Linked DNA regions of Nothobranchius furzeri. Each later gene encodes a partner of the first gene's protein in a complex. Links are inferred from orthologs where the notes say so. Each region holds a gene or a part of one and is shown in the gene's direction. Other genes may lie near its edges. The genes, in order: ttf2, akap17a, c17h9orf78 and ppp1r8b.

Region 1 (7,674 bases):
ATCATCATGCTCCTGCCCGGCGTCAACAGGCATCTCCTCTTCTTCTGTGGTGGTCCACAAAGGAAAGAGTAAGAACTTATCAACAGAGGGAATTTATAAACCAATTATGAGGATAAACACTAGCTGCACCTGTTCTGTGACTAATGAGAAGATGTTGCCTTAAACAGCGTATTTAGCAAAGCTACAGTAAACTCAAAAATAATATGAAACTTTAACTTCTTTGTTGCCCAACAAGATTTACCACACCACACATCCTACTTGCAGGTGAACTGACTAGAGAGGCCAGTAAAAGCATTGTTTCTCACCCTCATCATTTTCACAGCCCTGACACTTCAAAAGCAGCTCCTGTCGTATTGGTGCTGAAAGCTGATTCTCCTGTCCGAGTACGCTGGTTCTCTGTGATCCATTAACAATCCTGTGATGCTCCTCCTGCAGGGACAGCAGCTCCTCCAGCTGGTGGGCCTTCAGCTGCTCCTGCATGTGCTGCTGCCATTTCCTCAACTGCATACAAACACACAACATTACAGATCATTTACACACAACTAGGGCTGCACAATACATCGCAAATGCATCACCATCGCGATATCAGCATGCGCAATACGCACATTGCAAAGAACAGAAAAAAAACACAGTGAGTGGGTAACTCAAATATTTGCTTCCGTGATGCATTTTGTCAAACAAAAGCATGAAGTTTTTACAAATCAAATAGAGCCCTTCACCCATTTGGCCAATCGGGTGGGTTCTGATCAGTTAGATGCCCGCCCCCTAGGCAGACAGCACTTATTTTGGATGGCTAGCAAACACCTGAGTTAGCTTTCCTCTGCTCTTTCTGAAGATTCTGCTTTTCCCGGAATCCACTGACTGACTTTTCTTGGTCATTTTTTCCCCCTTTCCTCACATCTTTTGCTCACAATTTAGCGTTTCCCATTTTTTAAATATTTTTTTAGTCATCTTCTGATTTTTTTTAATTCTTTCTTTTTGATTTTCTGTTCTGAGTTAAGTATTTATTTGAAGCCGTATCGTAATCGCAACATTAATCACCGTTATCGCACATCGCAGGTTTTTCCAATATCACGCAGCCCTACACACAACATGACACTACTCCAGCATTCTCAGGCAGCATGTTTACCTGTGACCTCACGCTGCCTCTAATCCAACTCAGATTAACACCTCAGCAATTAAACCTCACAACACTATGAATAGTCACAGCAGTTCCTGTGATGGGAAAGTTTTAACCCTTTGACCAGAAGACTGTTCTAGTGTAATTTAACTACTGTTACGCTTTGAACTTTATAAGGGCTAGACAAACATAGGAACACTCTCACTGACCAGATCTGCCACGTTTGAATACAAGTGGCCTGTTTGACATCATGTTACAGAAATGTCACTTTTATTCTGTTCTTATTTGCAGCATTTTCTATTCCACTGGATACAAACTATATCTTAAGATCTAAATGCAAATTAAATAAAACTTAGAGCCTAACAACAAAATGAACTCCTTACTTGGTCTAGCTTCATCATAAGAGGCAAGTCTTGCACTTTGTTTGTCAGTCCATTCACCGGCCTGTCATTCCCAGCTGATCCTACACATCCACACACATCAAGGCAGCTGCTGTCTGCAGAGGCTGGCAGAGGGGCGAAGTCAGAGGAGAAGGAGTTGTCGGGATGCAGCGGCGTGGGTGATGCAGGAGAGATGGGTTGTAAGGGTCCAGCCAGACCCACGGAAGGCTTCAGGATCACCCCGGCTCTGCTGCTGCTTGGTATCCACCGGGCCAAGAAATCCGCCTGAGAGCACCGCGGCTCGGTTGGAGATGACATGATGACCGAGTCGCTTCAGGAAGGGTTTGCTAATCCAGGATTCGAAAACAGATTATGGTGACAACACACCCTTTCTGATGCCAAGAGCCAAATAAAATACAATGACTCAATCACATTCAGACGTGTCGTTAAATTACAAACGAGTTTTGTGGCATTAATATTATCACAGCACACAAAATGACCAATAATGATCTAGCAGGACAGTTACCGCACAGTTTAGCAGGACGCCTGATCTGAAATAAGTAATTTATTTGTGGGAACGTCAAAACAGTTAAAAGGCTTGGAGACTCGTAGGGCAAAACGAGAAACAACGTTTTCAGCGGTTATTAACACGACAAAAGAGAAGAAAAATGAAATACACTAAGTCATTCAACATTTCAAAATGCATCGAAGTTACCTGAAACACTCTGGAAAAGTTTTCTTACAGCTTTGAAGAGAAATAAAACATCAAGATAGCCAACAGAACTTTCGAAGCCTGCCGCCATATCAAAACAAAGCCCGCGAGAGCAAAAGGACCAATAATGCATTGTGGGTAATGCAGTTTTGTTTTATCTTTCAAAATGCTCATTTAAAAATTAAACATATATCCGACTTGAAGTAATACGCGTTATAATAATTTCACAAAACGTAAAAACAACAGCGGTAAAACTAGTTTTCATTACATCTTTTCCGTTTATCTTTTCTATTTAGGGCTAAATCCGGTTTATCGGCGCTAACATTTCACATTAATATCCATTAGAAAATTAGGTATGTGATGTACCGTCAATTTGGAGTTTTCTCGTCTTTTCGGTTGGTCTAATTTTACAATTAATTGTATATACAAATACAATAGTAATTTCATGGGAAATGTTACCAAATACAATTTATACGTATGATGTTAACTTTTATTTTGGCATTTCAAAAACCAGAAATGCATTTAGACCATTGCGATTGGTCAATACAAAAAATACCATCAATGAGACGTTCAGGCAAAAAGAAAACGGCAACTGCATTCATTTAGAGCTGTTGGAGAGAATGGAAAAAGTCGTATGTAATACGCATGGTAAGTCGTGATTACAACATTCAACATTATTTATTGCTATAAAATAAACACTTTGGCCTATTTTTTCGAAAATGTGATGAATTCTTTGTGTTTTTATCGAAACTTTATGACCCGTTTTCTGAGACTGGTGTTTTCCTAATATTGTCTTTGTTCTCTACAGGCAGCGTGTGTATGTTAAAAACGGGCGTAAAAGACGGACCGAGTAAAGACAAGAGCTTTTACGTCTGCGTTGCAAAGCAGGGCTGCGAGTTCACTCGACAGGCCAGGTATAAGTCATGAGGGCGTTGATCTGAAGCTGACATGGGGCCACTGCACTTCAGCTAAATAATAGTTATCCCAGCTATTCTACACATAACCTTTTAGCGGCCATGTAAATTAAATGACATAAAATGAATGGACAAACCAACGGATTCATCAATTCTCATCCTGTTTGAAGTATTAAATAATAATAAAGCTGTCTTCTCTAGTATCTCACCGTCACGCTGCCTGCATCATGAGGAGTCGGTGGTGGAACTTCAGGCTCTCAGCTACAGTGAGCAGCAGCAGAGCCACAGGTGGGTGTGCAAAAAGATGTTTTATGAAATTAAACCTAACAAGCAGCATGTTATCAACACTTCTGGCCTGCTGACTCTCCCCTGTTTCAGACTCTACTTCAGGTGTACTGTTGGGAAAAGAGACGGGCAGAAATGGTGTGGAAACGTGCCGTGGACTGCAGTAAGATTTGACTGATTTTACCAAGAATGTTTTGGACTTTACATGCCTTTGGTCAGATCTATCTATTGAGTCCAGTCACATCAGTTTTGCCTCTCACTCTCCTAAATGGCTATCTTTTCTTTTTTTTTTTTAGCTCAATTCACTTCCTGCACTCAGACATAAATACTTTATTTTGCAGAAGGGAGTTTACAATTCTAGCAGCATCAACACCCTGAGATTAAAAAGACAAATATGCCAATCAAAACTCATTTTATGGTTTAAAAGTCCTCCAAACCCATGGGTAGATGATGTAAATTCATATGATGGTTCAACCTTTCTAAGTGCAACTTAAAGGCTGATTGCAGTAGGTTATATGAAAAATGTACCTGCATTAATGCTTGTGGTGGTGCGTGTGCCGAGTGCAGCTGCAGGGGAGAGGAAGGGAAGCTGGGCGTCAGGAGATGCGCCAGGTCAGGGGAGTTACAGCAGCCTTGACCTTTTGATGTCATCAGGCCAGCTGCTGAAACCCAGTGTTGGGTGCCAGATGTAGCCTACTGCTTTCAAGACATTGATCCATAGGTTCCCGGACCCTTGCTGCAGATGAAGGAAAGGGAACTGATTACTAACACATCACAGCTCGTGTAATTCTCCTCGCCTGGTGCGTCTTCTGAAGCACTACTCTCTTTCTCCCCTGCAGCTGCACTCTGACACACACACACACGCCACACTGTTTTTCATGGACTGCATGTGATTAAACAGTTTAAATGTTTTTTTTAAGATGCTTCTTTAATATTGAATTCACACATAATTTAATGCATGTTGTTTTTGAATGTTTGCAGGTGGAAAAAGAAAAGAGAGCTCCTCTATCTGATGCACAGCTGCAGCAGTCCTCCTCCCTTCCCTCTGTCCGAAACCCTTTCAAGGCCCCTAGCAAGATGGAGAAAGACTCAGAGTGGAGAAAAATGCAGACCAATGGTCAAAAAGGGAAAGAGAAGGAGAAGAAAAACAGTGAAGTGTGCCCTAACGCCGACAGAAGAGAAAGTTGCCAGAAGGAAAATGTGGAAGCTGTAGGTGCAAAAGTAGAAAAAGAAGAGGAAAAAAAGTCTAACATGCCTGATGTATATCAAAGGAAACTTCTTCCACCTGGGATGAAGATCAAGAAGAAGATTTCAAGTGAGGAGAGCAGCAAGGACAGAGCTGGCACTGATAATGTAATGACTGCAAAGACCCAAGAGGAGGCTAAGGAACATTCTGCTGAGCAGGAAGGAGCAGAAAAAAAAACTTCTGCACCAAGCCTCGTGGTACATCACATCAAGAGTCAAACCTCTCCTGGTTTTGAAAACGTGTCACAAAAACCAGCGAGTCAAGGTGAACCCTCGGTTCAAGACAGCGCAACCAAATCTGCCCCCTACGGCAGCCAGCAGGCTTCCAGAGAGTCAGAAGCCCTCCCTAGTGATGAGGATGATGATGATGATGTCGTGCTGGTGTCAGTGAAACCCCCGGCTCAGAAAACGCCCCCCCTCTCTGCTGTTCAGAAGACCCTAACCTGCTTCCCTGGGTTCCAGTCAGCTGCTAAGGTGGACAGCACCAGCGGGATGCACAGCCTGCTGAGCACACAGCTCAAACAGAAAAAGGTTGTTTAAGAAAATCTACTCCTTTCCTCCACTTGTAGATTCTGACATCCTCTGCTTTTGATCAGATTAACTGTAGCATCATAGCTAGTGATGTGTTTGGCCTATAACACCACCTGCTGACGCAAGGGTGGGTTTCTCTCATGCTTACACGATCTCTGCATTCCTGTTTTCTGCAGCAGAACCATAAGATCTCATCGGACAAACAAGGAACACCTTCGTTTTACCGGAGAAACAAAGAAGCTTTGCGTGATGATTACCTGAGTGTGTTGTAATTGCGTGTCTGTCTACTGTATTAGGCAACTCTGTCCGTGGTGAATGTGGAAGCTCTGCCAGATAAAGGAGAGAGGTTGAGGACCCAGGTGAAAGAGTTAGAGGATGCTCTGGAGTCTCTGAGCCTAGCTGCTGCTTCTCAGCCTGGTGAGATTTAACGTATGCAAATGGATTAAATGGAGACAGTTAATCAGAACAACGGATGGTCATGAAACAATCTCATTTAAAGGATCAGTTCTGAGTGAAGGGAGCTGATAAAAGACTAAAAACCTGGTTTTGCTCACGGCTGCTCTCTTGTGTAAATCGCTTTTAAGAGTCCAGCATCAGCCAGTCTGCTACTAGGACCACCAGCATCAGTCCATCCTGCCAGCAGGGTGGTACCATCCTGCTCTCCTCTCCCCCGGTCTCAGACCCGGTTCAGCACCAAGCCTCAGGCCTCCACCTGAGTCAGGGATATGCCCAGATGTTTGGAGGTAGGACAAGTCTCTGTTAAACCTCTTTACTGGTGTGTATTTTCTTCCTTCACCTCCTTAATGTTTACACAAACTAACATTTTGTTCTGTTTTGTGTAGATGCACAGATGCACGCCTTTTATGGTGGCAAGATGACCCATGATCGTCTGCTGGCAGTGAAGAATGCTACCTGTGAGGCCATCGATCATCTCCACAAGTCCTTGGAGTCTTGTCCTGAGGCTGAGGCTGAGGTGCCTGACCCCAGTGGCATCAAGGTTTCCTTCTCCTTCAGCCTCTACTCTGGTGTCTGCTCAGTCACAATCAGACTTTGTCATTGCCTTTGTGTTGTTGGTTGTCTAGGTGACACTTATGGCTCATCAGAGAAGAGCATTGGCTTGGCTGCTCTGGAGGGAAAAGCAGAATCCCTGTGGAGGAATTCTGGGTAATCTTTATTATCTTTTTTTACGTCTGTTTCCGTGATCTTTATCCAAGATTTCTCAATGTCCTGCAGCAAAATCTCAGATGTTGTTTTAAACATTAAGAATGAGCTTTTGTTTCTTTTTGAGTTACATTTTGTAACCACTGAGATGTTTATTTTGTGTTTTCTAAAATCATCAGCGCATGAAGCAGGGTATCCACGGGTCCTTAAAAAGTCTTAAATTAGCTTTTCCAAATTTAAGGCCTTAAAAATCCTTTAAAATGACAAATAATCCTTAAATACAGTTTCCAAAGGTCTTAAATTACCAAAGACCCAATAAACAAATTTCTTTTATTTCTATAAAATTTTCGTGAATTTCTAGTTAGTGTTCAGCATTTTTTGCGTACGATGTTGGCGTAAGCGGAACCGTATACGTTCAGTTGGTTGTGAAAGGGGGCTATTTTTATAGGAGCACATTAGCTGGTTAAGCTAGTGGGAGCTTGCGCCATGGGGAAGTGCAAGTTTAACGGTAACTGGATGGCTAATCCCACGTTCGTGACGTGGTTAACACCATTTCCAGGCAATAGCTGGAAATTATAGCTTTAAGTAAATTTTTAAAAGTTGCTTAAATTTGGTCAAAGTGGCCTTAAAAAGTGTTAAGTCTTACATTTGGCTCCCTTAAACCTGCAGATACCCTGATGAAGAAAATCACTTCTTTAATGGAAGAAAATGTGTAATTTGCTATTACGATCCTAGTATTCTGATCCCGAGAGAAATAAGAACCGTTCAACGCTGTTGGAGTGGGTAAAGAACAGCAATAACTTATGTCCACTTGTATTTTATAATAGTAATAATAATGCATTGAACTTATATAGCGCTTTTCTAGACACCCAAAGACGCTTCCCACACACTCTCACATTCACACACTGCTAGTGATGGTAAGCTACTTGTAGCCACAGCCGCCCTGGGAAAGTCTGACAGAGTCAAGGCTGCCATTTGGCGCCGTCGGCCCCTCTGACCACCACTAACACAGGCAAGTTGGGTGAAGTGTCTTGCCCAAGGACTCAACAGCAGGATACCCCTGGTGGGAGCTGGAATCGAACCCATGACCCTCCGATCATGAGTCAACCCGCTCTACCACCTGAGCTACTACTGCCCCTTATGAACCCTTCTGTTGTGTTTGGATGCAGCGGACGACATGGGTCTGGGGAAAACTCTGACCATGATCGCTCTCATACTGGCCAAGAAAATAAAAGCAAAAGAGGAGGATCAAAGGAAGGAAGAGAAGAAGCTGCAGACTTGGCTGTCTAAAACTGGTAACTAGAAGTGTTGATCTTCATTTTTCAT
Region 2 (7,658 bases), about 16 Mb from region 1:
TAAATTATTTCAGACAGAAGCAGCTGATCACAGATTATTGTTCCTTTTGGAGTAAACAGACATTCCAGAAACTTTTAATGTGTGTTATTTATTAATACACATTTACCTAAATTTGCACATACACAATGGTTATGGTTTATTTTTTTAGTGCTTGCAACTAGCAGGAGTTGTTCTCCTGTATTTGCTCAGCAGCATCATGAAGACTTCCTGACTGTTCTCCCAAACATGTGAACCTCCAAAATTTAACTTTTTGATTTCTTGAATGTCCCTTTTATATTCTCTAGCATTTCTACTCAGATGTAATTCTATGGTTTCCACATTCCTGTAGAAATGTTTTAATATATGTCCTTTCTCATCAGCACGAGTTATTTTCTACTGTAAATGTTTGTGACGTGAAATTCTGTGAAGTTATTCTGCGGTGCTGAATCATGCGAGTCACTTTTGTCTTTCTTGATTCATTTAATTAAACGTTAAAGCAATAAACGTTTGCATCGATGTAAACTTCATTTATTTTACAGACCTCTATTGAGGTGACCTGTTTGCTGGCTCTCTGTGGTTGTCCCTGTGCGGCGGGGCTGAAAATTGATGATCTGATGACTCCGGACGCCAGCTTTGGAACAGCATTCACTGCAAATCCACGGCTTCCTGTTTCAAGCTGGTCAATGCAAAATATTTAAAGAGTTTTTCAGCGGCACCTTCGGATTGTTTAGTCAGAAACGTGGGCTCCTCTAGTGAAGTTGGGGGTTGTGTGTGAACCTTTTAATCGTGCTATTTTATAACCACATAATTGATATTAGATGCAAACAAGTGTGAGGCTTTTTTTTTTCTTCCAGGGATGCCGTGAGCCGCCTCGCTGACTGCTGATCGGGACAGAACAGAGAGGCTGTCTGACTGCAGCCACTGACCTACATACACACACACTGCCTGTTATGTAAATTCCTCTGCCATCTTTTCAGGGGAAACTGTGCCAACTTTGTCGCCCGGGGTCTTTTTAGAGTAATCCATGTCCAGTCCATCCACTTCTCCCACTTTTATATGGAATAGTCGTCATGGTGACCAGCAGTGCTAAATAGGCATTGAGCTTTTGTGACAAATAACCACGTCTTTTTTATTGGCTGGGTGATTCATAAAGCTTCAAAATGCACCTTAACACTAATTTAAAGAAAATGTTTATGTCATGCTCTGTGAAATATTCCTGATAAATTCCAGCCTTCTATTCAGAGGTCGTCGGTCCATCACAAAGCTGCACAGATGTACAGTATAGATTCACATGTAGGACCGGTTTAGTGTAGCTAACTAACCAAACATGTAAATTATTGGGCTGTGGGAGAAAACCAAAGAACAAACAAAAACATAAACATGCACGCAAACTTAATTTAAAGATTTAGAGCTATCAGCCACACCGCAGTGTGGTCCCTCTATTGGCTTATTTGGCTAAAATAGGTTATTTGTCTTCCATTAGCTCAATTTTCACATGTATTTGGACAAAACAGCATGACAAATGTGTTGTCTTTATTGTGCATTGCAAAAATATTTTTGCACTATTTTCAGCACAAAATTGTAATGGGATGAAAACAATGTAGCTAAATATGTCACAAACTATAGGTGAAGACCACTTTAAATGATTACTATAAAATATGACTAATTCTAAATAAAATGACATCAGATTGAACTGGTAAAAAATATGTATTTTGCACCACAGTGCAGGGGCATCTTCCATTGGCATCTTCCTCTTTAGAGGGCCAAAAGTTCAACAGTTACAGAAATCATTAAATAATTTATTAAATGTATCATTAAATTAAGTACAATCTGAAATACATGAACAGTTTATTCATTATACATTCTTTAAAAAAAGCACCGCACATAAAAGTATCTAATTTATTTTTGAAAGCATAAATAGTTCATGATTTTAATGTAACCATAAGGTTTCTAATACAGGTTTAATTTTTTTTTACTTGAAAAAACTTTTACATAAATCCATTTCTAAATCTTTTAACCTTCGGTTTGGGATCACAACTATGGAAGCCCATTCCCGCCACTCAGATAAAATAAAAAAAAATTATTATCTCATAATTATGACTTAGCTATCTCATAATAATGAGATACTATCTCATTATTATGACTTAGTATCTCATAATTATGACTTAGTATCTCATAATTATGACTTAGCTATCTCATTATTATGAGACAGTATCTCATTATTACGACTTAGTATCTCATAATTATGACTTAGCTATCTCATTATTATGAGATACTATCTCATTATTATGAGATAGCTAAGTCATAATTATGAGATAATAATTTTATTTTATTTTATCTGAGTGGCCGGAATGGGCTTCCATAGCTCTTGACCTGGAAACGTATTTATTTATGTTTCTTTCGGTCCTCCTTATTCTTCAATACGTTTGTTATAAACTCGACTAACTCTGACTGAACTGCGGTTTCTCTTTCAGACCAGATGGTGTCGCTGTTGCATAACTCCGCGACTGCGTCGTTGTCACACACACGTTGACTTTTTAAGAGGTCATAGTTCGGTGGATGCGGAACTAGCATGCAGTAGCAACCAAACATGTCTGTGGTAGCGACTTGGTGTACAGTTTTGTGCTTATACGGATAGTTTTTGCTCCGCAGTGATTTGCTCTGCTGGAAACCTCACGATATTTTTATCATTGTTTTTATCAGGATTCTAATTAATGTTGGGTAAGTTGTTGATAAATATTTAATAATTCGCGTCAGCACAGCGCTGGAAGCGGTTTTTGTGTTTTGCTTGTTTGAGCTAAAGCTAACTAGCTTCATATTAGATATGAAATTAGCTTGTCCACCAAGCTATTAACGAGCACCTAATGCTTTAAATGCCTTTTGCTAACTACTTGTTGATGGAACATTTTACAGTCTCGAGCTTGTTAGCCTCAGTTATTAGCATTGCATTCAGAGTTTGTTTTGCAAGTAACCTTGATGTTTAATACAACTTTTTCACCGGCTAAATATGTGTTGATAGTTTTAAATACGTTTCTTCTTCTATTGTGTTGTTAGTGCCCGATGTTGAAGGTATTTATTTATTAGGTACGGTTTGGCAAGACAATTTGTTTCAGTTGAACTGTGAATAAATATGTTTATTTTCAGTTAAATTTCAAAAGATATTTTAAGCCTATGAAAGACCAATGTAGTTATGCAGTTGTGGACTTTTTCTAATTCTCTTTATTATTTAGATACGGCATGAGGCCCGCCCCGTGTGTGTGACCATTTAGATGTTAATGAATTAAACTAAATTTATTTTCAAAATGAATGTAGAACAAGTAAACAAAATATAAGTTTGTAATAACAAATCAAGCTTGTTAAAGAGCAAGTCACCCCCATAACAATATTTTTTGCTGATAAACCAAATGAGTGTCTAACCGTGCTGTAGACACGTGTAGTCAGTAATTAATCACATTAGTGCATCTCAGTTAAAATTTTAATTTTCTGCCTTTAACAGTCTGTGTTGCGCCCTCATCAGGTAAAAACTGCACTGCATTTCAATTTAAACCTGCCATCCCTATTGGCTAAGAGGTACTGATGTTGTCAACTGGTACCATATGATGTCACAGTGCCACTGTGAGCCTGTATTTGTGTTAGTGGCTCCACTGGGGTTGGACGATGGGGTGAATTTTTCAACCGTCGGCAATGGGCTGAACCATTGCGATTTTTATTACTAGAGGCGATTTGTCTTATTTATTTATCAATGTGTTTTGCTGTGCATACATTTGTTAATGACAGATATTTTACACGTTGCGCACAGACAACATAGCAGCGGGATGAAAAAAAAGATCTCCATCAGTGCATCAGAGCATTATTTCTCACTTATTCCGCATCTTGCTGCTTACATGGCGCGCTGAATAGGAGCTGGGAGTGTCTGTGATGCAATAAACATCGTGCAAAAGAACACAGTGTTGAGTGGAAAGTGGAAACTTTTCTTTCAGAGAGTCTGGAAGACTTATGGTTATTTAATTTGGAGAGATGTTTCCTGATTTTAAAACTTTGGCCTAAAGGCACAGGCACACCGGAGATGGATGAGCTGCATCGTGCCCGCTCCGTAGTTTTAAATAGAAGCCATTATAGTTAATGACAGTGGCTACGCGAAGAGCGCCGCGTTGATCCTAACGTATTCTAATAAATAGCGTACTTACTAGGGTTGTCATGGTAACCGGTGTAGCGGTAAACCTCGGTAAAAAAGTTGACAGTAATAATAACCGTCTTGTTTTTAAAAAATCTATATTATCTCTGTGGGTTTACCGTGGCTGCGGTGTAGGCGCGGTGACCCTTATCAGTCACCGTATCATCTGCTGAAGTTGCCTGGCGCGCTTTATTGTTTACAACCAAAACTTTCTTGAAGCTAAAGCTGAAATAATGGCCAAGGGAGGAGACGGCAGCACTCAGGAGGACATTTTTTATCCCTCAAAGAAGACAAAGTGGGAAGTACGGGCATCTTTTGGATATTTGAAGAATGCCGAGAGACAGCTGATAGAAGACGGCTATCCTGTTTGCAGTACATGCAGAAAAAGTATCTGTGAAAGGCAGCAACGCTTCAAATCTCATGACACATCTGCGTGACCATCACCCACAACTCTACAGTCAACGCAAGGCAAGCTAACATTAGCGTTTTAGCTAAAATGCGTGGTCCGAGGATTTGGGTCGAGGGAGAATGCAACGAGTCGCTATATAAAGCAGCCGCAGCGCCGCTACCTGCATATAAACCGTGTCACGGACACCCCCATGTTGAAATGACGCTATGCATTACGGGGCTCCCAGGGGCAGATAAGAGTTGGTCTCTCTCCGAGAATAATTATGAATTTAACAATGATTACTGCCTGATGACATTTTCCCACATCTGCAAAGCTCACTGGAAGGACACAAACCGAGGACAATATTTTCCTGATATAGGGTTTATTACTCAAGTAAGGGTAAAAAAGTATCTGATTAGAAGGCTGCTTGAGTACTGAGTATCATCTGATCTAATATTTTTAAATGATGACATCAAACAGACATAAAACAAGAAGTTATGGTCGAATATTGGTATTTTAAAGACTAAAGGGAAAAAATGTAAACAAATAAACAACATAATTACAAAATAACACATTTAGGCAAAATTTAGACACAAACTGAGGACAATATTTCCTGACATACAGGGTTTATTTAATTGTGTGAAAATGTAGCACGTTTAAAAAAATACCGCGATAATACCGAAAACCGTGGTAATTTTGGTCACAATAACCGTGAGGTTAAATTTCACACCGTGACAACCCTAGTGCTTACCCATATTTAATAAATTAGTCTCACAAAACATGACGGCAAGTTTGATCACATATAAACAATAGTCACTTCCCCCTTCCTGTTCTCAAATCCCACGTGATGTTGTGACTGATTGTTATTTCAAAAATGAAAGTGACGGGGATAACTGGATCATGTGACCTCTGGCTGCAATGCTCTCTACTAAGAGGCCGTCCAACTGCAGCAGCAATTAATTTCATTTCTCAGTCATAAAAGAAAGAAACCCAGTAGCCTTTGTTCAGGGAAAAAAAAAACCTTTTGCTTAAATAAAATACCCCAATAGTGGCACCGCAGAGAAGCAAAGACGAGGCTTCTTTTTAACATTTTAACTGTGTTTAATACGAGCTGTTTATACGTCACTCTACCAAACTACAAATACAAAATTAAATAAAAAGAAAAATCAAACTTTCTCCTTCAGCAAACATTTGCAAAAAAAAACCCAAGTGTTTGTACTTCTATTGTAATCAGTCATGACGTTGCTCAGAGTCACATGCACAAATAGATCGCCCATCGTCATTTATTGGACTGACTATTGGCAGTGGCAAAAATTGTACAAATCGCCCAACCCTAGGCTCCGCCCTCTCGGTCTGTCAGCCAACAGCATTTCTTGCATTTTTCAAATATGAACTGGGAGTGGAGTAAGACTCTGGTAGGGGGTGACTTGCTCTTTAAACTCCCATCAGTTTCAATTTTGCAAAAGAGAAAAACAACAAAAATATATTTTAATGATTATTAGTCATATTTAATCCTGACCGTTTGAGAATTTCCCAGAAAACTTTTTTATTGTTTTATTAATATTTTGTTTCCCAGCATCTGCGTACTTTAGGAGGAATGACCACCATCGTCCACGACACCACAGAGGCAGTGTGTCTGTCTGCTGAGTACAACCTGTACCTGAAGCCCATTGCCAAAATGACCGTCAGTGTAGCTTTGCCTCAGCTCAAGCTGCCAGGCAAGAGCATCTCCAACTGGGAGGTGATGGAGAGGGTAAAGGCCATGGTGGCTCCAGAGCAGTTTTCAGCTCTGCGTATCTCCAAGAGCACTTTGGACTTCATCCGCTTTGAGGGTGAAGTGGAAAACAAGACGGTGGTCAAGAGTCTGCTGAGTCGTCTGGATGGAAAAACCATCAAACTCAGTGGATTTACTGATGTCCTGAAGGTAAAGCTGACACTCACTGCTGTGTGGGTCCTTTTTAGTTTTAATTTTTTCTTTTATACCTGATGCTTTTCTCCCCCTAGGTACGTGCAGTAGAAAACAAAATGGATTTCCCCACGCGCCATGACTGGGACTCTTTTTTTCGAGATGCAAAAGACATGAACGAGACTCTGCCTGGAGAGAGGCCCGACACTATCCACCTGGAAGGGCTTCCATGTCGCTGGTTCAGCCATAAGGATAGCCAGTTCCCCGACCGGCCTTCAGAGGATGTCCTCATGTCTGTTTTTCAGACGTTCGGCAAGGTATTATGACACGTCTCACCTTTATGTTAATATTGTTTTATCTGATACACTCCACTTTGAACTGCACTAATCCAGCAACTGCTGCATTTTAATAACTAGTGTTAAAGGTGAATACACCAATATTTGCACAAAAATAATTTTTGTTTTAAACTCTCAGTGACACACTTTGCCGGGGGGATTTGGCATTTAATTATATATATACATACATATATATACATACATACATATGTATGTAATATGTGTATATATATATATATATGTATGTATGTATATGTGTATATGTATATATATATATATATATATATATATATATATATATATATATATATATATATATATATATATGTATGTATGTATATGTATATATATATATATGTATATATATATATATATATATATATATATATGTATGTATGTATATGTATATATATATATATGTATGTATATGTATATATATATATATGTATGTATATGTGTGTATATGTATATGTGTGTATATGTATGTATATGTATATATGTATATGTGTGTATATGTATATGTGTATATATATATGTATATGTATGTATATGTATATATATATGTATGTGTATATATATATATATATATATATATATATATATATATATATATATACACACATACACACACACATATAAATGAATTCCTTTAAAATATTGATTCGGTGTATTATCAACACAAGGGTCCTGAATCAAATATCATGCTTTAGGTGCGACATGTCGACATCCCCATGCTGGACCCCTACAGGGAGGAGATGCTGGATAAAAACTTCAGTACATTCAGCTTTGGAGGTCATCTGAACTTTGAATCTTACGTTCAGTATCAAGAATACTGCGGCTTCACCAAAGCCATGGACACGCTGCGTGGCATGAAGC
Region 3 (7,627 bases), on another chromosome or scaffold:
TCCAGACGCCAAAGAGGAGATTTACAACTGCCCCTGTGCTCCACCGACCTAATCCCCAATGCCAGTTTACACTTGAAGTGGTTATTACACCACTACTAGTGGTGTTTTCTAAAGCCTGCCACCTCATACCATTAAAATCTCTCCCTTCTTCCACAGTTACAGCAAAACTGCTCATTAAGTATGTGTTCCGGCTGCACGGTATCCCTGAGGAGATTCTCTCCGTTCGGGGACCCCAGTTCATCTCTAGAGTATGGAAGGAGTTCGCCGAGGCTCTGGGAGCCAGTCGCCCTCACGACTGGTTACCACGCGCAGACTAATGGACAATGTGAGCGCATGAACCAGGAGCTCGGGGCGATGCTGTGCTGCGTCTGCTCCGCTCACCCATCCTCCTGGAGTTCCCACTTCGCCTGGGTCGAATATGCCCATAACTGCCACGTCTCAACTTCAACAGGTCAGTCTCCCTTCGAAGCCTCCTTAGGGTATCAACCAGCCCTGTTTCCCCAGCAGCCCTCGGCTCCCTCCACGGTTCCGCAGTTCCTCCGGGGGGCCAAACGTGCTTGGGCCTCCACCCGGGAGGCTCTTGACAGAACAGCCGATAAAAACAAACGGATGGCGGATCGCCGGCAGCGCCTGGCTCCGGATTACGCCCCTGGTCAGGAGGTCTGGTTCTCATCCAAGGACATCCCGCTAAAGGCAACCTCCTGTAAGCTGTCTCCCAGGTTCCTAGGTCCGTTCAAGATACTGGACGTCCCTACTCCCTCCACAATTCGGTTGGAGCTCCCACGCTCCCTTAAGGTTCACCCTGTATTTCACGAGTCCTTAGTTAAGCCTGTGGTTTCGAGCCCCCTCTGCCCTCCGCCAGCTCCTCCGCCGCCTGTGCGGTTCAAAAAGGGGGGTTTGGTTTATACAGTTCGCAGGATTCTGGATTTTCAACCCCGTGGCCGGGATACCCAGTACCTGGTCGACTGGGAGGGGTACGGTCCGGAGGAGCGTTCCTGGGTCCCCCACTCCTTCATTGAGGATCCGTCCCTGATCCGGGACTACGAGGCCGCGTCAGCTAGGATGCCAGGAGGAGACCGTTTTTTTTGGGGGGGGGGGGGGGGGGGGGGGGTACTGTCATGTGCCGGGGTGAGTACTCCTCTCAGATTTCCCATCTTTGAGTTATGTGTTTCAGGAGAGGGAGGCTCCAGCTGCAGCTGATTTGAAATCAGCGGGTCTGGCTACAAAAGGAGGGTGAAGAACACTCCTCGACGCCGGATGATTACTACAGCTTGGTAGTTTCCTGCCCACTTGCGACTCTTGGATTTTGTGCTCTAGTGTTTCTAGGAATTTTTGTGAACCTTTGGATCTTTTCCCTGTGCTTACCCGTTACCAGGTTTTGGAATGTTTTTGGACTTCTGTAACTTCTCTGGATTACGTCTCTGGTTTTCTGCGACTCCTCAGGATTACTCACCTGTGCCCCATAGGATTTCCGGACGCAGCTCTCACCGTTCTCCATTCCTCCAGGCCAGCCCGCACTCCTTTCACTCCCTCTCCTGGACACCCCACTTGGATTTACCCCGGCACTCAACCTACCCTCCCTCATTCCTACGCTCCCCTTCTCCCAGTAAGTCTATTCTCTGCACCCATCAAGTTTAGACTTACCATCCTGGACTCACCTGTATCTGCTCTCCCCTCCTCAGATGCTGCACTCCCGTTCTCGATCTCCACTGGGCTTTTCCAGTGCACCCTCAGTTCCCGTTTAAAAATAAGATTCTTTTTTTTCTTTACCATAAGGTCTGTGAATGTGTGATTCTGCATGTCTTGGGTTAAACACATTCCCCAAACCATGTCACTTTGGAGCATTAATGTTTATTTGAATTGTTTTGGTACAACAAACTAAACTGAATGTCATACAAAGAGTGAAGCATAGAAGTTTTATGGAGAAATAAGTTGATAAAACTCTGGGCGGACCTTCTAAAAAAGTCATTTAGACACCATTAGAAATTTCTCTTGGCTTCTTCTCCCCCTTTCTTATGTCCCATCCTAGTCATTACATATATAAAAAAAACATCTGTTGATTAGAGATGTAAGAAAATTTCAATATGGCAATATATCGTATCGTCTCCCCTGTATTGTGATACGTATCATATAGCCAGAATTTCACCACTACACATCCCTACTGTTGATACCACTTTACATTTCTGTTCCCCCTAAAAGACTACTTATTATGCTTATTACAAATATACAAATGCCAAAAGAGGGACTTAAAGTAGTATCATATAGATTGAGTTAATTTTAAATGGCTTGTTCATATGTTTAGGAATGCAAAATATATAAATAGTGAGACTCGGTCCTGCTGTTATCTTACAAATCAATGGTGACAGACTTTACACTTTAAACTGGGGCTCCCTTTGACATTTGTGGATATTTCATAATACAGTTATAAAATATAATAATATTTGCTAAAAGTATGTTTACAAATGCCCATTTAGCTAACAAGGCAGCAACTTAGTTTGAAATGTTTAAAATGGCAACTGTAGACAAAACATACAAGTGATTATATTTGGCTCACCATTTAGCAATTTTTGTCTCTTTCTTGCCCCCAATGACGATAAACACTTATAAAGAGTTACAGATGAATTAATTTCAACATATTTATTAACATTTACCAATCATTTATAAGGGGTGCCTTATTGTAAAGTGGTACCAACAATTATTTGGGGTTAGTTTGGAAAAATCCACCATTTCAAAGAAATAAGAAAACAAAGTACCGAAAAACTAATACCTGACTCTTAATTAGAGCTTGGTTTCAAAACTTGGTGCCTCTTCAGTCCGAAAATACTTAGTAGGTATTGGTATATTTTTGGTGCTAGACGTTGTGGTTTTGGCTTGGTTCAAAGTTAGCAGCCCTCTGCGGGCCCCTGGTGGCCCTATGCAATGCATGCCCTGCTTATTAACACACAATGCATCTATTTGAGCCGAAGTATGCACTGTCTTTAATCGTGAAAAAATAAAATAAAATAAATAAAAGCTGACCCGAGTCTACAACCTTTGTCCTCTGCTGCATCAACAGCAACAAGAAAAATAGCCAGGTCTCATGTTTACAGTGTACATAGTTTATCTCTTATTTACATTGTATGTTTATTCATTTTGTATTTATTTTGGGATCTAAATATTTTTATTTCATGTTTTTAGAGAAGATGTTTCATATGTCTTGCACCAAAGAATATATAATAGTTGCACTTTATTTTCATACTGTTAACCTTTGCTTTGTACTAAAAGCTAAATACTACCTTTTCCTATTTATAAACTGTATATATATATAAACTATTACATTTTTAAGATGACAGTAAAAAATGTTGCTTCCACCATTTAGACAAGCCTCTCTCAGTTAAGTGGATACAATATGCATATATTGGCAAACATACAACAAGGTACCCCCTGGTACAGAGTTTGCTCAGAGTAAGGAAACAACTTGATATGTTAATATGAGATTAGTAATCTTGTATTAGGAAATACCTGGCTAAAGGTGAGCAGTAAGCATCACGAGGGCCTGCAAAATTCATGGTTCCCTCTTCGAGAACTGTCCGCCCAGGCAAAAACTTTAGACTGTTTGGATTTGGAGTATCCTGTGTCTGCACAAACATGGACCTTCCTGTAACATAAAAAATGTAATGCAAATTTTTAAAAAGGGCTACAAGAGAATTGTGGTCATTTTCTGCATGTGCAGAATGCCCGATTTTCTCACAACACCTAAGCATCTGACATCACTGTGGAAAACGTGACAATAAAAGACAATCACTCTTATTTAATAAAAAGTCACACTAGAGGTTGCAGCAAATAAACAAACCAGGAACAGTCCAGAAGGGGTTTTGTGGCCATCTGTTTGAAACTCCAGTAGCTTGCGAGGGCCAGTGGAATCCATTGCTCTGACATCCACTGCCAACAAGACTGAAAATAATGAACAGATAAACAGTAATATAAAAAAAACATTCTTTATTATAAAAAATATTATGCTGTTGTGTGTAGGGACGATTTCTTTACCGTCACTAAAATGTGGCAATAATAAGACGGGTAAACTCCTGTTTAGAAGATGTGCGAACAAGCTCCTACACTGAACAGGAACACCAAATCAAATACAAATGCTATAACTAAGGAAAGCAAAACATTAATAAAAAGGCAATGGCGCGATGACAGAGTTGTTTCAGCACGCTTTAAAAACGCGTTCTGCACATTTGTTCTGGTGATTTGTATTTTTTCCCCTACTAAATAAAAATGATCAAAAAGATGGATGCAAGATAAAAATTTATTACATTTATGCAGGTTTGTTTAGTGTTAATTTTACTTTAAGGGCATTTTTGATGGGAAAAAACATCGTAATGAAACATTCCTCGTTTCCAGACCTAATGTTTAGTCTGCGTCATTCCACACTAAACCAACAAGCTTAAACACAGTCGCATAGAAATGACTCACATGTTGCAAAAAGTAAAAGAAAAAAAATTAAACACAATAGAAGGTAAAATCCTGCAAAATATCCACTTACGGTCGTGAAAGTCTAGCAGAAATCCCCAACAACCCGCTAACGTGTTTATAAGCCGCCATGATTGTTATGGTTGTGATCCTTCAAGAAGAACGGAAGTAGATTATACTTTTCCGGAAGTGACGAATATTTTTGTACGTCTGTTAAAGTTTCCCCCCGAAATTATCAGCGTCAAGCTTACGCGCAGTAAGGCGCTGCTTCTTCAAATATTTACGTTAAACTATCTAAATATGCCTTGTGGTAGGCATTTTAGAAGAAGACAAGATTCGTCGGATGATGAAGAGGAGGATGAAACAACAGAAGAAGTCAGGTAAAATACTCGAACAACGAGTTGTTAAGATATATGTTGTGTTAGCAAACTAGCCGCTAACCCAAAATTAAAGTAACAGAACGCCATTGTTGTTAGTTGTATTTTAATAAGCTGCCTACCTAAATATGTTTGTGCTTTTGTATTTTTTTTTCTTAGATCAAAAGTAGAAGAGGCTAAAGAACTTCAGAGTTTGAGGAAACGACAGAGCGGAGTCAGGTAACATGTTAATATGAATGTAGAATGGAAGACATCTTTATTATGTAGCACGTTTCACACAGAAGCAATTAGTTGTGCTTAATGTCAATACTTAACTGCTTGGATGTGAATTAACTTACACCTTTTACTTTTTGTCTAGTGTGACAGCTTTATTGGTGGGAGAGAAACTGCCTCCAGAAGTCGAAATTGATGTAAGTTTTCTTTGGAAAAAAAAATGTGTGTGTGTGTTGAATAGCAACATGTTGAACGTTTACTTTTTTATTGATCACTTCTGACAGAATGATCCTTTCAAACTGAAGACGGGAGGAGTTGTAGACATGAAGAAAGTGAAAGACAGGAATAGAGACATGTGAGTCAAGTTTTCCACCCTCAGGTGCAACATAGATACCTGCCTGAATGCTTTGTACAATTAAACCAAATCCAGTTAATCGGATATGACTGACTCATCCAGGATGATTCATTAACAGGACAGAAGATGAAACCGACCTCAGCCTGGGCACTTCATTCTCCGCCGAGACCAACAGAAGGGATGAAGATGCAGACATGTGAGCTTTTCTTTAAACTGTATTATAATCATTTCCTCTTCAGACTCAACATTGTCCAACCTCTATTTAAATTGTGCTCTGTTTTTTTCCTCTCTAACGGAAATTTCTGACTTTTGAGATAATTTTTCTCATGTCAAGAAATTCAATAATAAAAAAATTAAGAGGTGTGTGTAGGTCGTCAACATTCATGTCCCTTTAAGAAGCTGTACCACCCTGAGCCAAAATGTGACTCAACCTAACACATGTGACAGCCCCATCTAGGCCATATCGCCCAGCCCTAAAAGGAAGGTGTTCAGTTGATTTCCTCCGTCTGGCAAAAAATATTCCATCATACATAATAAAGTTGAATTTCCACAAAGAAAACAAATTAAAAACAAGTTTGGTCCAACAATGGCTGCCCTGGACAAGAAATAACACTGGTGTTTACCTGGGTTTTCATCTCTTTAAACAACTAAAATAGTGTCAGTATTTGTCAGAAATCAAATTTTGCTCAACAAAACAATTTATGCACCAACCCCTGAATTAACCAGCTGTTAATGTTGACTGTAAAATCAGTCAAACTACAAAGACTGCTTTTGTCTGAGATGAAATGGTGTTGGAACTTTTGTTAGCATGTTACTGGCTGGCTTCATTCAGCATTTTAAGAAAAGGCTTTTTATTCTACTAAAGAAAGTTGGAAAAGCAATCTCAATTCTTGAATTACATGAACTTTGTTACTAAATATTTAAGTATCTACAAGTTAGTATTCAAAATCTTAACGTAGCTGCCATCCAGTTGTTCGTGTGGGACATTTCCCATTGTGTTTTTCTTTACAGGATGAAATATATTGAGACAGAGTTAAAAAAGAAGAAAGGCCTGGTGGAGGCTGAGGAACAGAAAATTAAGGTGAAAAATGCAGAGGACCACCTGTACGAACTTCCTGAGAACATCCGAGTGAACTCTGCCAAGAAGACAGAGGAGATGTTGTCCAATCAGATGCTGAGTGGGATCCCGGAGGTTGACCTTGGCATTGAGTAAATTCAGAAGATTCTTTAATAATTCAGCTCTTTTTATTTTACTCAAATTAATCCCTGTCGTTTCATTCTCAGTGCAAAGATTAAAAACATTATCCAGACAGAAGAGGCAAAAGCCAAACTTCTGGCAGAGCAAAGGAACAAGAAGAAAGACCTCGGGACGTCGTTTGTTCCCACGAATATTGCTGTTAATTATGTCCAACATAACCGCTGTGAGTTCAGGCTGTCTGCATCCGTTCCAGCTAGAGGAGAAAAGTTTGTTAATCATGCTTTTGTTTTCTTTTAGTCTACCATGAGGATGCAAATGCACCACAAAGGCACAACAGACACAGAGAAGAGCCCAAAGCAAGACCGCTGCGAGTGGGCGACACAGAGAAGCCAGGCCCAGAGGGTACGAGACACGACCACACAGTCACAGATACAAACCAAAAACACTTTTTGGTTCCTTTTTTCCAGAAACCAAAACCTGTACTCGTTTCTTTTGTCTGTCCGTAGCTCCGTCGCCACCGAACCCACGCAAACGTCCAAACAACGAGAAGGCCACGGATGACTACCACTACGAGAAGTTTAAGAAGATGAACCGAAGATATTAAAAAGTTGCATCTGTTTCCTCCACACAATGGCATCTGAAAATGTGAGCCGTTGCTAATTATTATTGAAAACATTTGTTGACCAAAATGTTGAAGCTCCAGATTTGTGTGATTTCCTGTTTGGTTTTTCAAACAAGTCAGCAGCTTTAGCTTCACTCTAAGTCTACAGTATTTTAGAGCTGGCTGTTCAATTATTAAGTGTGTAAAAATATATCTCGGTTTGTTTTTTTAAAACAAGAACCATACTAAAGTTTAAAAGTGATGCACTTAGCTAATGAGATGGAATAACTAGAGCAGCTGCTTGAAAATGAGACGTTAAGCAATAAAAAACCCAAAGCTGAACTGTTGGCTGCCATGTTTATCTTAAAAATAAAAAGTAGCTAATTTAAGTGGTTTACATGTAAACAAAGAACTGTAAGTATTCTGCTTTG
Region 4 (7,771 bases), on another chromosome or scaffold:
AATTCTAATAAAAAAAGCTAACAAAAAGTTCAATGAAATGGTTGGATTGATGCAGGATTGTTGAAAAAAGTAAGCAGATGTAAGCTTAGGAAGAAAAAACTTTAAAAAGCAGAAAGATTTGCTTTAAATCCAAAGGATTCTACATAATTTCAATGAGCAGAAAATTGTAGAAAAGACTCATTCCTGGATAGAGCGTAAAGAGCAGAACGAGTTGAATGTTTTGATACCAGATTTGCAGAAATGGAGAAAAAAATGGAAGTAGACAAATGCCAAAAAAAAACATACAGAAGCAGAACAAAGAAAATGTTTTAAATTCTGGATCAGTACTTAGACATCATGAATTGAAAGTACTCATGCAGAAAGTATGCCCCTGAGAATGTTCAGTACTTACATTTAGGGAGTTTAGGGTTTTGTGTTTCAGGTCTAATTTAAAGACATAGTTTAAAAAAATTTGTCATTCTTACAGTTCATAATGGCCTGGATCTGGTAAACTGGACTGAGGACGAGGACCCGCTCACAGTTGGTTTTCTTAACCAAGCAAAACCTTCGGCTACGCAGAAAGGGTGAAGACATGATCTCCTTCAGGGTGTAGCATTCTTCGCTCTCGCACTCGTAAAACTGCCCCCGAGACGACAAAGGGATGCGGACTTCAGCCGAGGCCTCTGCTTCTCCTTTAACGTGGCACCGCACCTGATCCTCTTTCCCCTCGTGTTTCTCGATGGCGATCACAGTCAAAGCCTTGCCGGCCCCCAGGGTGAAGGTGTCAAGTGTCATTTTAGTGTGGCTGTGGAAAGTAAAAGGCAGGAAGGACTCCTGGCCCACAGGCCTCAGACTCATCATCTCTTCAACTGAACTGTATGGCATCTGCTCCGGGACGACCTTGAACAGCCCTGAAAAAACAATTATGTGTGAGTGAGCTGCAACAACAACCAAACTATGGTACTATTACGAACTTCTTCCTAACCTGCATGGCTGACTGGCAGTTCAAATGTCTCCTTGTTGGCAACATCCTCACAGGAGACAGACTGCAGTTCAATACCGATGACTTTTATTAGATCCCCAGTGGAGAAGCTAACTTCACTCCCAGATATTTCATACACCGAACCTGATGCATGAAACGAACCCGTCAGGCATATAAAAGTTCCCAAATGTGCCTCGATGATGAAGTTTTTTATGATTATGAAAATTTTAATCATAATAAATGTGACTAATTTAGCTAGGAAACACAATGTTTGATCTTTACATTCCTATACTCAGAAATTTGTACCTTTATTATCTTAATAAATAAGTAAATCTTATTTATATAGCACTCATCACAGACAAAGAATCACAAGGGGCTTCATTGAAATCAAAACAAAATTAATCATAAAGTCATAAAATCATAATGATCTTAAAACAGATCTAAATACATAACTAAATAAATAAATAAATAAATAAATAAATAAATAAATAAAACCCACCTTGGAAATAGACTCCAGAGCAAATCTGTAGAATTTTCGGTAAACTGCTGGGATCCAGCGATGCAATAAAATCTTGAAGCGGCAAAGCAATGCCTGCCATGGTTGCTGCCTCGGCGAGTCGAAATAAGACTGAAGACAAGTGTTAAATGACGACTGCAGCTAAAAAGGAGTTGCGCTTCTAGCAAAACCACAAAAGTATATGAGGAAGTGACAGGAGCTTTTGCACAACATTTTTCATTTTTAAGGGAGGGGGGAAGTTTATGAGTTATGACGGAGGCCCTGTTTTACTGTCAAGATTTGTGATTTTAAAAATCGTTGACAGCAGCTTATTGTTGTGGAGCCAATTGAAATGTAAAAAATTCACTGTTAAAACAAAAGTTACTGCAAGGCTAAGATTGGTTCTTGGTTTGTACCAGTAGCTAAATGAAAAACACGTCATTGCCAGATTAGAAAGAAGTGGATGATTGGAAATAAAGTGTGATGAATGTGACTTGTTCTGTTGCAAATAACTGAAAGAAAAACACAAACTAGGAACATAACCTAAAAACTCTCATGTGACTCACCTGGATACATCAAATAGGTTAATTTTAGTCATACCAGTTTTGTCTAACATGTTTCCTGTGACAAACTATGTTTTCAACCAATGAATGATCAAAGGCACCTTACCCAAACATGTTCTTTTTTGTGTTTTATCATTTATAAGGGAACTTTGATGGCATTAGTTTATTTGTAAAAGGACAAAAAGACTGCAGGCTCATTTCCTTCTGCTTTAAAGAGAAACTAAAAGTATGGCAGCTTTACTTTTTCTATGACAAGACCGAAGCCTATGACCCTCAAACCCACAGTTTACAAATCAGAAAGAGAAAATAAGCAAAGCGTCAGTCGAATCTGGCTACTTATTCATCCCTTTTCTGTGTTAAACTCTAGGTGCTGAATCTTTGTAACAAATGCTGTAGGAGGCTTGTGGTATCGCTGTTTCCAAACCAACATTTCAAACTTTTTCAAAACTTTATTTTTTGGGTCTTTACTGAGAATTTGCAATTTGGAGTTCAGAGACCTCCAGTGGTTTCTTTAGGAACTTTAAATTTTATAAAAGCCACATTTTTGACAAATACATGTTAATATCTCTTAAAACAAAAAGGACATTTTTTTTTCTTATTTGAAACATTAAAAAACACCAAACAAATTTTTAATGTTAATTTTTTTTAATGAACATTTCTAAATGGACTTTGAGATAAATCCTTGTTGGTTAAACAAATGGCCTGGTTTTATCAAATAATAAAATAGTGGCTTTTAAAATTATCATCTGAATGAATCTGCTCAAATGTCTTGGGCTACTTAAATTATTCAAACAGAAAACCGTAAGTCATCTCAATCTAGATGTTCTTGTAAAATATTGTTTTTGTTTTGTTTTTGTGGAAAAGGTAACTTTTGCAATTTAGCCCATCCTTCTGTCAAAAGGCACTACCTTTGGATTGGCCACAGTTGTAAGAAATACTTTGTCTTGTTAAATAAAGGTTAAAAGTTTTAAAATAAAAACATCTGGCTGTGTCACACAAAATGCACTAAAAAGCTGTTTTCTAGGGGTGGCCATGGCCACCCCTGGCCACCCTTGGGGGCACCCTTGCGTGTGCTTGATTTGTGTTTTTGTTGGGCTGAAGAGAAGCTGCTTAAGTAAAAGTAAAATTTGTCACCTCCATCTGTCTGAAACATATAAACAGAATCAGTTTACATTAAACAAAACTATGTTGTTATGATGTACATTATCTTTCCAGTATAAAGAAAAACTTATCATTTAAGGTCTATTGTTTTAATATTAACAGAATTGGACTGAAATTATATAATTTGTTTTTATTTAATCATTATTAGGTGAGTAGCTGTTTCCGCCCCTGTTGCGCGTTAATGTTCTCTTTTGATAACAAATTGCAACTTTACACACAGTAGTAGATTTGTGATGATAAAATTAGTGTTTTTTATGAACTATAAATGTGACTTACCTGAACTTTTTTCTTTATTATTTTTAGTAGACTACTTCATACTAACTCTAAAACCCGAATTTAATCATAAACTCAACAATATATAAGTTCCACACACAACCACATCTATAAATGCGAAATATTAGCTTGTTTTTTGTACTTTTACTTTTTTTTAATATGGCGTGGTCTATTACCGGACTACATTTCCCAGCATTCCTAAGCGACAATTACCCAAAATGCATCGTTAACATGTAGAGGGAAGATGGCAGCTAAAACAAGCAAAGACGGTCCACCTTTTGACTGCCCATCATGGTGAGAAAATGCACATGTTGAAGTACTAAAATACCAACTGCAGCGCTTGATTATGTGCAAACGAGCAAAACGACGTTGTTACGTTAACAATTGTAACTTTTATAGAGGAAAGAAGTTCGTTAGCGTTAGCATCCAATCGAGCTAGCAGGCTAACCCCTCCTACAAGGCTAGCCTAAATGCGGATCACGGTTTGCTTTCTGCTTGAAAATGAATGAAAGGCTTGATTTTAAAAGTTTCTCACCTAGTTGAAACGTATAGAGGTGACAGCAGGACATTTTTTGACAGATATGCTCTTGAAGTATTCGGTTCGAGTGAAAAGAGCTAAATGTTTGAATAAATGAATTAAAATTAGATTATAAAATGGTTAAATATGCTGTAAATATATTTATGCACTGCTGTATTTTCTGAGATCAGTTCAGTGTTTAAATAAGTCTCTAATTGTTTCTTATAGGGGAGGAAAACCGCCCACAGGACTGCACTTAGACGTGATGAAAGGAGACAAACTGGTTGAGGTAACTGGAAATTTAAACTGTTATTTAGTTTGGACTCTTTAAAATCAGCTTTAATTATCTCAGTTCTATTTAATTTCTAAGTTAAAAATCCAGATTTGTTTAATCTCTTAAACATAAGCAAATTCCACAATAAAATGTCATTCCTTATTATTTTAAACATCTAATGATTCTGTTTTCCACATAGCAGAACACACATGTGATTGTTACTATTGTACAAATGTTAAAAGCACCAGATACAAGCCTGACAGTCTGCTCCGCCCTGTGCGTGTTGCACAATGGGGTTAACCTATGACTGCATGGCTTCAAAAGGTGCGAGAACAACATCAGCCCTGAGATTTAAGCCCTTCAGTGGAAAGCAACACTGTTGAGTTATAACTCAGAGGCACAAATGCATTAATGTACGCCATTACTAATTCACACCATCCGTTTCTCCTTGTAGAAACTGATCATAGATGAAAAGAAGTTCTACCTGTTTGGTAGGAACCCCGACTGGTGTGACTTCACCATCGACCATCAGTCGTGCTCGCGTGTTCACGCCGCTCTAGTCTACCATAAACACCTAAAAAGGCTCTTCCTTATAGATCTTAATAGCAGTAAGATTTCACAAACACTTTAATTATTTCTCAGTCACTCTGCTCTTTTAATGTATTAATCCTAATTATTATTATTTTTTTACAATTTAAGCACATGGTACCTTCCTCGGACACATTCGCCTTGAGCCTCACAAGCCTCAGCAGGTTCCAATCGACTCTACAATATCCTTCGGGGCGTCAACACGTACCTACACCATCAGAGAAAAACCCCAAACCCAAGGAAGCGCTGGCACCGGCGACAGTAAGACAGGAGATGAGGAGGAGCTAAAAGGACTGCTCGGGCTTCCGGAGGAAGAGACAGAGTTGGAGGTTTGTTAGAATTCAGATCAGCTCCACTGACTCGCCGCTTGTTACTCTTGACTTGTTTTGACATCCTGTTTTGCGCTTGTGGCATCTTAATGGAATTATTTGTATGCAAATTAGCCACAGTGTGAAATGATCTCAGTGTGTTTGGTTTTTTAACTCACTCACTGCCAGCCGTTTCCTGATCACTTACCCCCAAATTCCACTACCTCCGCTCCGACACGAACGCCGGAGCAAAATCGGTCCCGTTGTAGTCAATCAGAGCAATTCCACTACTGCGGCCGTGCTCCGGCAATGCGGCGCAGTGCGCTGCCCTCTGTTCCGGCGTCCGGCAAAAATAGAATCGATCCTATTTTCGCCGGACGCCGGAGCACCTCCGCAGTAAATGGACAGAAATCACAACCGCCCAACAGGAAAAGGAGCAAGCACAACTTCCGTTTTTCACAATAAATCGATAAAAAAAGGCGTTTTTTGTTTCATATGCACAGGTTTAACAACTTTTAACAACTATCAGTGGCGGCTGAAGTTTAAATGCACAAAAGTAAGCCATAAATACAGTTTCTACTATCAAAGTAGTCACACTTTGTTCATCCAAACACTGCTGATCTCTCAACACAAATGATGGGCAGATTAAACAGTTCATGCCGATGCTTCTCCCACACAACGGGTGTTTGGATCTAACTTCCGCGTTTATTGCTCGGACTGTATCGCAAGATCTCGAAAATCCCGTGCATGCTTGTTTGCCCACCTCAGGTCTCCGCACCGGAGCGGAGCCGTTGTAGAGCGGGTACCAGTAAAAATTGAGTTTGGAAGCGAGCGGCTGCGGAAGGCGGGGCGGACCGGACCAGAGCGGAATGGAGGTAGTGGAATTTGGGGGTAACGGCCTTCGCTGCCAGCGTTTCTCACCATTTTTATGATTTTTTTTAAGAGTCACAGAACGTTGCGCGCTAGCATGATGTCAATGCCAAAACAACCAAAAACAAAGAGGAGACTCACCTCTTACATCAGGAAGAAGCCGTGTGTTTCGAGCATTATCCGTTCTTTCATAATCCGTTGTCGAATTGTGATCGGCAGACGCTTTTCCGGTTCGCGCCTCACTTTTTTTTACAGGAACGGCCCAAAACGATCTCCTAACACATGGATGTTCTGCTTCCTGATCACGTGATATGTGACGTATGCGGATGAAGATCAGCTTCAGGGCTGAGATGTTTGTTCTCTCAGGGCGGGGGCTCGTGCCGATGCTCAAACAGTAAAAAAATGCAAATGACGACGTCATTGGCAGTGAATGAGTTAACTGCACCACATTTTTTCCCGACATCTCCAATTTTCTTTTTTTTTTTGTTTGTTTGCTTTTTACTGTTGATTTTTCAGCATTTTGACTTTGTTTATTAAGCTTCAAGTTGAAAGGAAGCAAAAAGCCTTAAATACTAGAGTTTTACTGCATTTTCTCTTTTCTTGCAGCAATAACTCGTTCTTTTACTATTTGGTGCATCAAATATGGACACGGACACCATTTTTGTTTTCTATTTGTAACGTCACAGATAACTCTTCTGTGTTTTAAGACACACCAGTTACTTTAGTAACATGTTAAACTGTTTTATTTGACATTGTAACATGACTAATAGAAGCTGATGTCCCAGCAGTACCAGACTAAGAATCTTCTGGCACTGAGCCATAGCTGGTAACAGTTAAGAGCGGACACGTTTTATTTTGATACATGGACTGCCATATGCAAATTTGACCACGTGATGTCACTGTTACTTCATGCACCTTTTTATATCTATCCTGGGGAGGTGCTGCATCAGATAGAGCATGGTAATATCCTGGTGTCAGTGTGGTTTAACGACACTCTTTTGTGACTTCTGCCAGAATCTAACGGAGTTCAACACTGCTCACAACAAACGCATCTCCCTCCTGACCATCGAGGAAGGCAACCTGGAAATCCAGAGACCCAAGAGGAAACGGAGGAACTCCAGAGTTACTTTCAGTGAAGAGGACTCTATCATCAACCCAGGTACGTAGAAACACAAACATCTTTTGTTTAAAGCTTTATCTGTTTTCATTTCTTGGTCAAACCATCACTAGATTTTGATGGAGATGAGTTGGAAGTGTTGATCTAAACTACCTTTTTTAGGTTGATTTAGAGACAAATGTACAAAAAACTCAAATTTGTGCCCTTAAATGTGAATCAGAGTAATGTAACAGTTTTTTATTTATTTTATTTTACATTGGTGATGTCTTCAGTGCAGTAAAAAAAAAGTAGTTCATCTGATGTAAACTGTCCTTATTTGTTGACTTATTCAGAGGACATAGACCCATCGGTCGGCCGCTTCAGGAATATGATTCAGACAGCCGTCATCCCCATGAAGGTAAATGTTTCACCCCACAGGTGAACGTAATTCTCCATTAATAATGGAAGTAGTTGTTTCCAAGTTTTAGTTTTTATTCCTCCGTCCGTTTTGCAGAAGCGAAGATCTGACGGCCAAAACACTCTGGGTCTGGACGATCTGGCTTCAAAGCGTATCCACGGCTACAGCTTAGGTGGTGGACTTTATGGCGACTTGCCTCCTACCAGTCATGAGAACAAGCCAACGGGAGCTCCGGGAGGTGTTGCT

What was found.
Region 2: ttf2 (region 1) and akap17a share a complex: the UniProt entries of both Homo sapiens proteins name them as parts of the spliceosome. The link is inferred for Nothobranchius furzeri from reciprocal best matches to the Homo sapiens genes TTF2 and AKAP17A.
Region 3: ttf2 (region 1) and c17h9orf78 share a complex: the UniProt entries of both Homo sapiens proteins name them as parts of the spliceosome. The link is inferred for Nothobranchius furzeri from reciprocal best matches to the Homo sapiens genes TTF2 and C9orf78.
Region 4: ttf2 (region 1) and ppp1r8b share a complex: the UniProt entries of both Homo sapiens proteins name them as parts of the spliceosome. The link is inferred for Nothobranchius furzeri from reciprocal best matches to the Homo sapiens genes TTF2 and PPP1R8.

The regions. Positions count from the first base shown.
Region 1 is NC_091754.1:32,990,020-32,997,693, forward strand, and holds the start of ttf2 (transcription termination factor 2), read left to right. Parts: upstream 1-2,578; 5' UTR 2,579-2,664; coding exon 2,665-2,860; intron 2,861-3,020; coding exon 3,021-3,126; intron 3,127-3,327; coding exon 3,328-3,414; intron 3,415-3,504; coding exon 3,505-3,574; intron 3,575-4,392; coding exon 4,393-5,187; intron 5,188-5,483; coding exon 5,484-5,604; intron 5,605-5,771; coding exon 5,772-5,930; intron 5,931-6,029; coding exon 6,030-6,184; intron 6,185-6,269; coding exon 6,270-6,351; intron 6,352-7,517; coding exon 7,518-7,643; intron 7,644-7,674. Other genes in the region: cpap (centromere protein J), read right to left, coding at 1-44, 306-501, 1,504-1,818. UniProt on the Homo sapiens protein: DsDNA-dependent ATPase which acts as a transcription termination factor by coupling ATP hydrolysis with removal of RNA polymerase II from the DNA template. May contribute to mitotic transcription repression. May also be involved in pre-mRNA splicing.
Region 2 is NC_091754.1:16,997,409-17,005,066, reverse strand, and holds the start of akap17a (A-kinase anchor protein 17A), read left to right. Parts: upstream 1-2,519; 5' UTR 2,520-2,700; intron 2,701-6,117; 5' UTR 6,118-6,138; coding exon 6,139-6,465; intron 6,466-6,545; coding exon 6,546-6,764; intron 6,765-7,492; coding exon 7,493-7,658. UniProt on the Homo sapiens protein: Splice factor regulating alternative splice site selection for certain mRNA precursors. Mediates regulation of pre-mRNA splicing in a PKA-dependent manner.
Region 3 is NC_091757.1:40,165,676-40,173,302, reverse strand, and holds c17h9orf78 (splicing factor C9orf78 homolog), read left to right. Parts: upstream 1-4,653; 5' UTR 4,654-4,752; coding exon 4,753-4,832; intron 4,833-4,988; coding exon 4,989-5,048; intron 5,049-5,187; coding exon 5,188-5,239; intron 5,240-5,326; coding exon 5,327-5,397; intron 5,398-5,515; coding exon 5,516-5,593; intron 5,594-6,408; coding exon 6,409-6,606; intron 6,607-6,681; coding exon 6,682-6,818; intron 6,819-6,892; coding exon 6,893-6,997; intron 6,998-7,101; coding exon 7,102-7,199; 3' UTR 7,200-7,538; downstream 7,539-7,627. Other genes in the region: NFU1 iron-sulfur cluster scaffold homolog, mitochondrial, read right to left, coding at 3,502-3,637, 3,833-3,933, 4,526-4,584. UniProt on the Homo sapiens protein: Plays a role in pre-mRNA splicing by promoting usage of the upstream 3'-splice site at alternative NAGNAG splice sites; these are sites featuring alternative acceptor motifs separated by only a few nucleotides. May also modulate exon inclusion events.
Region 4 is NC_091745.1:71,998,020-72,005,790, forward strand, and holds the start of ppp1r8b (protein phosphatase 1, regulatory subunit 8b), read left to right. Parts: upstream 1-3,492; 5' UTR 3,493-3,698; coding exon 3,699-3,748; intron 3,749-4,199; coding exon 4,200-4,260; intron 4,261-4,484; exon of another isoform or gene 4,485-4,650; intron 4,651-4,699; coding exon 4,700-4,853; intron 4,854-4,944; coding exon 4,945-5,162; intron 5,163-7,025; coding exon 7,026-7,170; intron 7,171-7,460; coding exon 7,461-7,525; intron 7,526-7,621; coding exon 7,622-7,771. Other genes in the region: protein THEMIS2, read right to left, coding at 465-890, 965-1,105, 1,461-1,560. UniProt on the Homo sapiens protein: Inhibitor subunit of the major nuclear protein phosphatase-1 (PP-1). It has RNA-binding activity but does not cleave RNA and may target PP-1 to RNA-associated substrates. May also be involved in pre-mRNA splicing.